Cricetulus griseus: one gene and its partner. The protein of the gene in region 2 purifies or fractionates together with the protein of the main gene of each other region. This does not show direct contact. Links are inferred from orthologs where the notes say so. Each region holds a gene or a part of one and is shown on either strand. Other genes may lie near its edges.

What was found. Proteins that work in one complex are often made in the same cells at the same time.
Region 1: the proteins of Pag1 (region 2) and Fyn purify together in Homo sapiens (co-immunoprecipitation; 3 studies listed by BioGRID and IntAct, with this or other methods). This does not show direct contact. The link is inferred for Cricetulus griseus from reciprocal best matches to the Homo sapiens genes PAG1 and FYN.

Annotation. Positions count from the first base shown.
Region 1 is NC_048595.1:262,065,703-262,069,161, forward strand, and holds the end of Fyn (tyrosine-protein kinase Fyn), read left to right. Parts: intron 1-1,476; coding exon 1,477-1,685; 3' UTR 1,686-2,650; downstream 2,651-3,459. UniProt on the Homo sapiens protein: Non-receptor tyrosine-protein kinase that plays a role in many biological processes including regulation of cell growth and survival, cell adhesion, integrin-mediated signaling, cytoskeletal remodeling, cell motility, immune response and axon guidance.
Region 2 is NC_048595.1:138,036,373-138,041,350, forward strand, and holds the start of Pag1 (phosphoprotein associated with glycosphingolipid-enriched microdomains 1), read left to right. Parts: upstream 1-2,026; 5' UTR 2,027-2,444; intron 2,445-4,978. UniProt on the Homo sapiens protein: Negatively regulates TCR (T-cell antigen receptor)-mediated signaling in T-cells and FCER1 (high affinity immunoglobulin epsilon receptor)-mediated signaling in mast cells.

The DNA.
Region 1 (3,459 bases), about 120 Mb from region 2:
CCTCTGGCCAAGTAACAGGATTCTGACCAGGTGGTCACCTCCATCACCAGAATTAAAGATGGCTGCATTGCATATATGTGGCTTCCCTACTAGTGACAGCCCTGAGTTTCATGCTATAGATGACAGAAGATTGTAAACTGTCAGAAGTTAGGGAGTATTCCAGATGACAGGTTCACAAGGTCCTGTCACAGAGAAAGAAGGGCATGATATGACAGACAAAAAAAAAAAAAAAAAAAAAAAAAAGGCAAGGGCGAGAGTACCTGAAAGTAGCTGGGAGGTCACACTAAGTGTGGTATTTCCTGTGCTGTCAGGAAGGCCAGTGCAGGGCAGGCTGTGCTCAACCTCCCGCCACGTCCAGTCAAGAACATCAGCACTAGGCAGTTCCTGCATAGGGGCAGGAAGGTGTCAGATGATAGATGGCCTGCCCGAGGTCATCCATAAACAAAGGCCCTGCCTCCCTGTCAAAAGTTCCCAAACCTCCGAGCACTATGGGGGTCACCAGGCCAGATGGTGCCCAGCCCTGCTGGCATGAGGGCAAGTCTCAGACACTGTGCACAGGCATGGTGAAAACTATAAAGGCCCTAAATGGATCGTGTATGTTCTGCAAATAGTAGACTGCTTGCTCATATTCCATGGGGTATTTGTGTGTGCGCTTTGTTCATACAGAGGTTTCTTTTTAATTGTGTTTGTGTGGGGATATCTGCATGTAAATGCAGGTATCTGCAAGGGCCAGAGGTGTCAGATCTTCTGGAACTGGAATTACAGGCAGCTGTGAGCCGCCCAGTGTGCATGCTGGGAACTGAGCCCAGATTCTCTGCAAGAGCAGGACACACTCAGAGCCACCAAGCCATGTCCCCCACTCCTACGTTTTTATCTGTTTGACTGAGGTACAATTTACACACAACACATTTTGTCTAAGAGCCACGTCAGTACACACATGCTACACTGGGGTCACAGCCTGCAGCCCATGGGCCAAGCCTGGCCGCCCACCTGGTTTTATCTTAAGTCCTTTCTGTGGCATGAAGAAAACAAAGCTTGCATTCGCCCACCCAGACAAAAATATTTGCTGTTGGCCCCTCACAGGAAAAGCATGGGCATTGGACACACCACTTCTCTCACTTCTCAGCTCCCCCTGACCTTTCACCGGTGTTCCCTACCCCTAGCAGCCACTGATCTGCTTTCTGTCATGCAGTCTTCTGCCTTCCTGTGGTCTAACATAAATGAAATCATCTAGTATGTTGCCTTTTGTGTCTGGCTTCTTTCACTTGCAGTGCTTTGAGATTCACGGTCTGGGCTTTTGCATCTATGAGTTCTTCATTCCTTTGTTCCGTTCTTTCTGCACGGTGTGACAACCGATGAAAGGCATAGTTCCCCTCCCAAGAGGGTGAATGGCATCCCTATGCTTTACCTGTGTGACATGGTAGTCAAGGCCTAGAGCCCAGGCATGCCTGCTCTCACTGCCCCTTGTTTTTGTAGGCATGAACAACCGGGAGGTGCTGGAGCAGGTGGAGAGAGGCTACAGGATGCCCTGCCCACAGGACTGCCCCATCTCCCTGCACGAGCTCATGATCCACTGCTGGAAAAAGGATCCGGAAGAGCGCCCCACTTTCGAGTACTTGCAGGGCTTCCTGGAGGACTACTTTACCGCCACAGAGCCCCAGTACCAGCCCGGTGAAAACCTGTGAGAGCCTGCTCTTCAGAGACCTCTTCTGAGGCCTCCCCACCCCTCCCCATTAGCTTCCAGTTCCGTAGCCAGCTGCCCTGAGCAGCAGAACCGTCCAGGATCAGATTGCATGTGACTCTGAAGCCGGCGAACTTCCACGGCCCTCATTAATGACATTTGCCCCCCAGTCCGAACCTCCTCTGTGAAAGCATCCAGACAGAACCGTGTTATTTCTCAGACTTTGGAAATGCATTGTATCGATGTTATGTCAAAGGCCAACCTCTGTTCAGTGTAAATATCTGCTCCCGTGCCAACAATCCTAGTACTTTCCTTTTTTAAAAAAAAAACAAAATGCAAATCCTATGTGATTTTAACTCTGTCTTCACCTGATTCAACTAAAAAAAAAAAGTATTATTTTCCAAAAGTGGCCTCTTTGTCTAAAACAATAAAATTTTTTTTCATGTTTTAACAAAAACTGATCAGGACAGGTGTTTGTTTTTTTTCTTTTTTATACATATGAATATATACGTAAAATGTTCCTGTATATACACCATGTGGGTGCTACCATGGAGACTGTGGCCAGCAAAGGCCACATAGTTACAGGGCCCAGAGTGAGGATCACTGGGGAAACCTGCATCTAAGCACTGGTGTTATTTTGAAAGCCGGTGGCCTCCGTTTTTTACTTCTACAAAGCATGATTTTCCCCCCTTCATTTGGATTGCACTTTTTCAGTTCCAGTCATACCTGTAGATTGTTGTTCATGTGACTTTTCAGGTCCCTGAGCTGAGTTCACGCATTTTAGTGCCCGTTTCGCTCCAGCGTACTGTGATCTGTTCTTGCGACTTGAGAGTGAGCACACTTAAGCAAGCAGCCATCCAGTCCTACCCTGAGGGCTGCAAGACGGAGACCGCATAGACTTGCTGTATAGATATGAATGCTGACTTGTTTTAAATGTTCTTCTTTTATTTAATAAATCTTGTAACCACATTTAAATGGTCTAAAACCCATATAGCATTGTAGTCACGGCAGCCTACTAAACTTTCTCATGCAGCTAAAAATGACGGGGAAGGCAAGGGTGGGGGGTTGTACATGTCCCATTGTAAAATAAGTGTTCCAATGTCCTGTACTGCTAATGAATGACTCTCCATGTCGAGCGTACTCCAGTCAATAACTATGCACTACTTTACATTTCATGGGGGTGCACAAGAGGGTTGCGTTTTCAGTTGCTGTTTGTACCAACCTTGAATTACATATGTTTAACAACAACAAATCAATTCCTATTTCTATTGAGTTTTTTAATACTGAATAGCAACTCTAAAGTCTTAATTCCTTTTTTGTTAATGATTTATTTGTGAGTTTACATTTTTAATTGTTTAACTTTCTTAATTTAGTAATTAAAAAGAGAGCATTTTACATTTGAAAAAAAATTTGTTCATTTGTGTACATCACAGGAGGTACCATAGGCGTTCTGTGACATATCTGTCCCACACCAGATGGTGAAGAATCACCTGGTGAATTTGGCCATTGGGCAATGATTTCCAAATGACAGAAACATTCAGAACATCTGGAGACCCTCCCCACTAAGAGTCAAAGTGATTGTCTGACTAATTCAGAGGACTGTTGCAGCCAAACTGGGCATTCCTGAGTGTTGTAGTCTATCTGACCCTGTCTCTAAATGAAATTTACTGTGTCTCATTTGTAGAGGAGAGAGAATAGTCTTTCTTGATCTTGAGACATAAATACATTTCCAAGTATCCCTCTACTTCTCTAATGTTTTCTAATGACTAATGAAGTTG
Region 2 (4,978 bases):
TTGTGCCTTTAATACATGTGCACATGCATGTTCCTGTGTTTGTGTGAGCATACCATACATGTAGAGTGTGGAGGTTGATATTGGGTGCCTTCGTCAGTTGCTCTCCACCTCATTTTTGAGTCAGGATTTTTCACTGATTCAGCTAGATTACCTGGCCACCAAGCCCCAATGATCCTTCCATCTCCCCACCCTCAGATCTAAAATTACAAATGTGTGCTTCTACATCTGGCCTTTTAAGAGAGTTCTAGGGATCTGAACTTAGGTCCTCATGTGTGTATGCAGCAAGCACTTGACCAACTGAGCCCTCCAAAATGTGTTTTGAAGTGTGTAAAATAGATAAAATAACTTTCCGTGTCTATTTAGAAGATCATTGTGGGATTCTGGAGGCAATTGTGATGTTCCATCTTGTCAGCTTTCCAGGATTTAGAGTCTCTTTGGAAACAAACCTCTGGGTGTGTCTGTAAAGGTGTTTTCAGGGAGCTTTACATGAGGAGGGAAGCCCTGTGAGCAGTGCTTTATCATGGACTGGGATATTGGAATAAAAAGGTTAAGCCTCTAAGCGTTCACCCCTACTGAAGATGCAGTGTGACCAGATGCTTCACACCCCTGTGGTCTGCACCATTGGAGACTGGACCCTCAAACCATGATTCAGAATAAAGGCTTCCTACCTTGAGTTGCTGTTGCCAAGCATTTCGTTAAAGCAATGAGAAAAGTAACTAACACAGCTTGGTTGTGAAATCCACAGCCTTACCAGCTTGTGAACCAGTGAGCTTCTAGCCATCCTCTGAAATGGGAGGCCAAGCCTGATCCTGCTTTGCGAGCCCTGAAGTATCTTTCCAAGCCAAAGGTTGAGTCAAAAAATCTCCCCCACACTCTCCTCTCCTCTGCAAAATATTAACATTCCCTTCTCAGTCACTGCTTCCATTCCCTCACAATGAGCCCTTTTTATCCAGGCAACTTGCGCTCCCTTTAAAAGTGAAACATATGTATCCAATAAAGTGAATGTGTGTATGTTCAATATCTCTAGTGCCGTTTCTCCTGTTAAAAAACTCTTAAGAAATGCATGCAGAAAAACTGGGCTACTCAAAGGACTGGTTGGTTTAGAATTCTTTGAGTTCCACATCTGGTCTGGTTATGTGTTACTACAACGTCTATCTTCAATCCTAGGTTGCAGGTGTAATAACCTAAAATTTGAAGCCAACATAACCCCAGTCCGATTTATCTACAGAGTTTTACAGGCGTTATTACAGGGCCCCACCCCCACCCACTTTGTCTAATGGCTGAACCAGAATCACTGTGGATACGCGTTGGGAATTTGTTTTCTTGAGTTAAAAGCTCTTCTCACTGATTCTCCAGCAGACCAACACTTGAGAAGCTGCTCCTAGTTCTTAGCCCTCTACTTGGCAAGGATGCGGGGCGGGGGAGGCTGGCAGCACTGGTGTCTTCTTGGACCTATTGGAGTGGGGATTCTTCCAACTTCCAGACTCTCTGAGTCTTCATGGGCAGATCTGTATTACCAAACAATTAGTATATTCTGTATCATTAGATGCTTATTTACAATTTGCAAACCTGGGTCCCACTGCTCGAGTCTCCTGTGCTTATTTTGGGGATGCGGTCGGGGCAAGGGCTCTCACAAGCTCCTCAAATTCTTACTTTAGGTAGGTATGGTCAAGGTGAAAGAAGGTGTCGCACAAATTGCAGCCCTTGGGGGTTAAAGAATCACCTGAGTTAAACTTGGGACTTGTGGCTGTCCTGGGATCCTAAGACAGTTCCGATATACTGCCTTTTAAGGGACAATGAGTTCAGAAGACAACCTCCTGTCACAGAGCTTTAGGTTATCAGCCCCATTTGCCAGCCTCCAGCACCTGGCCCTGCAGTGGGCCAAATTAGTTTCGTGCCCAGGACCCCGCCCCACCCTGCTCTCTCCGCCCAACCCCGCCCGTTAGTCCCGCCCCCGTGACGTGCCGCAGCAATCGCGAACATGCGCACTGGCTCCCGCGCGCCGCTCCTCGGCGCTGTCATTCTCCGCGGCTCGGCGGCCAGTGCGGACTGCGGTTCCTGCCCGGCGCGCGGGCGCTGTGACTGCTCCTCGGGGGCGGACCGGCAGCTCTGCAGCGCGTCGGCGCCTCTCTTGCGGGGACTCCGTGGCGTCGCATTTCGTCGGAGCGGGAGACACGCACCTGGAGCTCCGAGCGCAGCTCTCAGGGTCTCGCGGCCGCTACGGCGCTTGCTCCGGTCCTCGGCGCAGTCCGGGTAGCCGAGGCCACCCGGTGCGCCCGGGAGAGTGCGCCGCCCCGGGCGCGGTAGAGCTCAGGCGACAAGGACCGGGAGAATCCTGCACCCGCTGCCACCCGCCACAGAGGGCCAGCCCGGATGCATACGACGGAGTTGCAGCGCTTCTTAGCTCGTTGAAGCCCCAGAAGACCCCTGCCTCCTGAGAGCCAGTAAGTTGACTGTAGTTTCTGAAGTTGCAGGCAGTGTGGGAAGGACAGGTTCGTTTGATTCCTGTCGTGCCAGGCCGAGGTGGCACCTCCTGGCTGCAGCTGGAGGAGGGAGTACTGGGCTGCAAAGGAGGGGGGCATGTCACTCGAGGACTTAAGGCTGGAGTCCAGGGCTGGCTCCTGCCTCTGCTGATTGCGCCAGTTGGAAACGTGCTAGGAGAGACAGGTGCTCTGAGGGCATTTGGCCCGCCGCTAATTGCACATTTTGAGCTCCTTGATTCTGCGCGGCGTGGGGTCAGGGGCGTCCGCCACCTCCATCCTAGGAAGCTCTGCTGACATCCCCTCTGAGGACTGGCACAGAGATGAGAAGCTGAGACATTGCTGCTCAGGCCTGCAGGCTTTCTGTGCATCCCACTTCACTCTCCCCCTAGGCAGAAGTTGGCACCCTCCCATAATTGGAGCCTAATCCTTTAGGGAAAAACAACTTCTATGTCAACTGAGTGTTTTGTGCTCTAAGGCAGAGAAAATGAGAAGAACGATCTGCGCGCTTTTATGCATATGCTTTAAGAATGGAGGCAAGTCTCAAAGAAAGAGGATTCAGATGGTGGCTGAGTTGTCCTGCATCTCTTATGTAAGCCTCCTGGCTGGGTAACTTTGCATCCGCAGGGGCTGCAGCTGTGCCTCCACTCCATTTGTTTCAAGTCCAGCTTGAACCGTATTTAATGAAAATGTTGACATGATATAGCGGCTTGTAGTCAGAAACAGGGCAGTCTTTAAATTGAAGCGTCTTCTCCTAATGGGGAACACCGGAGGAAGAACTCGGTGTATTTTTCAAGACAGTTCAAGGAATTGGATACATAAATCATGCTTTAAAATACCATACATAGTACAGAGACCATGCACAGGACCCCCTTTAGAACACATCCCCTTTTGTTTTAGGGAGAGTGGAGACTGTTCATGCCAGACAATTGTTGAGTCTGAAAGTTAAGTGCACTGATGGGCTTAATTATCTTAATAAACAAAGAGCATGATTTATAGGTAGCTGCAGTGGCCTACTTTGAAGGGTAGAAATCTTTAACCTTTCTTTCTCAGCTGCCCCCTAGAGATTCTTTTAAAGCAGAGCAATGGATTAATGCCATTGATGTTAATACTTGAGCTGATTAAATTGTAAAAGGAATTCTTTGAAATACCATACAGCCCTGCTGTGTGGCTGATAGGCAGTGAAATTATAAAGAAAGATAATATTTAGAGCACTGACCATAGGAGGCTTTACATTAACTAAATATCTCATGTTGCAGCTGCCATGTGATATGTATGCATCTACAGATAGAAAGAAATCTGTACAGAGAAAAATACATGCATTTGGATTTGAAATAAAAACTCAGGGATGTGAGTTAATATAATATTTTAGATGACCTTTAGAAAGAGGAGTGTATATATTAATGTGTTTCAGTGAACAAAACAAGATGAACTAACTAGTGACAGGCACCTGATTTAAACATAGTTTTTTATTTTAAGAATTCTAAGAGGAAAAAAGGTACTGTTTTAAAGTTCAAAAGCCAGTCAACACATTGAGTTTATAAGAGCATTGAATGCTGACCTCTAGAAGAAATTGTAGCCAAGTGTGGGCATTAAACAGGGTGGCCTGTTGTGTCAAGGAGCCAGGCTGCTGTCTCTATTGCTGGCATTGAATCTGGGCAAGTTACCACAGTTCTGAGCCTCAGTGTCTCCATCTGTAAAACTGGTGGGTGTAGCCATAGGACCTCCCTCATTAGGTTGTGGGAGGATTAAGTGGAATCTTGCATGTGAAGGCATTGAGCTGGTGTCAAATATATTAGGCTGGCTTTGGGGGAAAAATGTTCATTGCTTGAGAGGAAATTTGTCTTGGGATAAGCTGTAGACATTAAGCAGCTGTTGCTGGAGGTCCAGAGAAGCAGTTCACAATTGTAATAGGAGAAAGGATGTAAACATAATGGCCACAGGCTAATATCCTAATATCGGACTTACTGTCTCCAGCAGAACCTCCCCAAAGGCCTTTGAGGGAGCTGGCTTTGTCTAGGTGTTAGAGAGGAGGAAACTGAGGCTGAGATCAAATATTATAAATTAGAGCTAGCATTTTAAACATGCCTGTTAGAAACTGTCTTCTTAGACACAGCTGCCTCAACTTGCAAGCAAAGTAGATGGTTTATTATCTTCTTTATCCATGGGACGTTTATGTTTAAAGTTTAAAATATGCAAACTGCTAACCAGAACTCATAGTGCAGTTCTCCATGATGGGAAGCTATTATCATCGTCATTGTTGTTAAATACCAGGCCCTGGTTTCAAGACCCCTTTAGTCCTGGTGTGAGAGAGGTAACTGGCATTTTTGCCTTCAGTTAGAACCGGATTATGTTATTTCTTTCTCCCTCGTCTATATACTCATAGAATCAAGAAAACTTGGTGTAACTTAATGCTTTATATTGGAAGTTGATTCAATCTATTCAGCCTCCTGCGTCCCTGTGTAGTTGCTGTGGGTCACACAGAGTAAGTTACTACA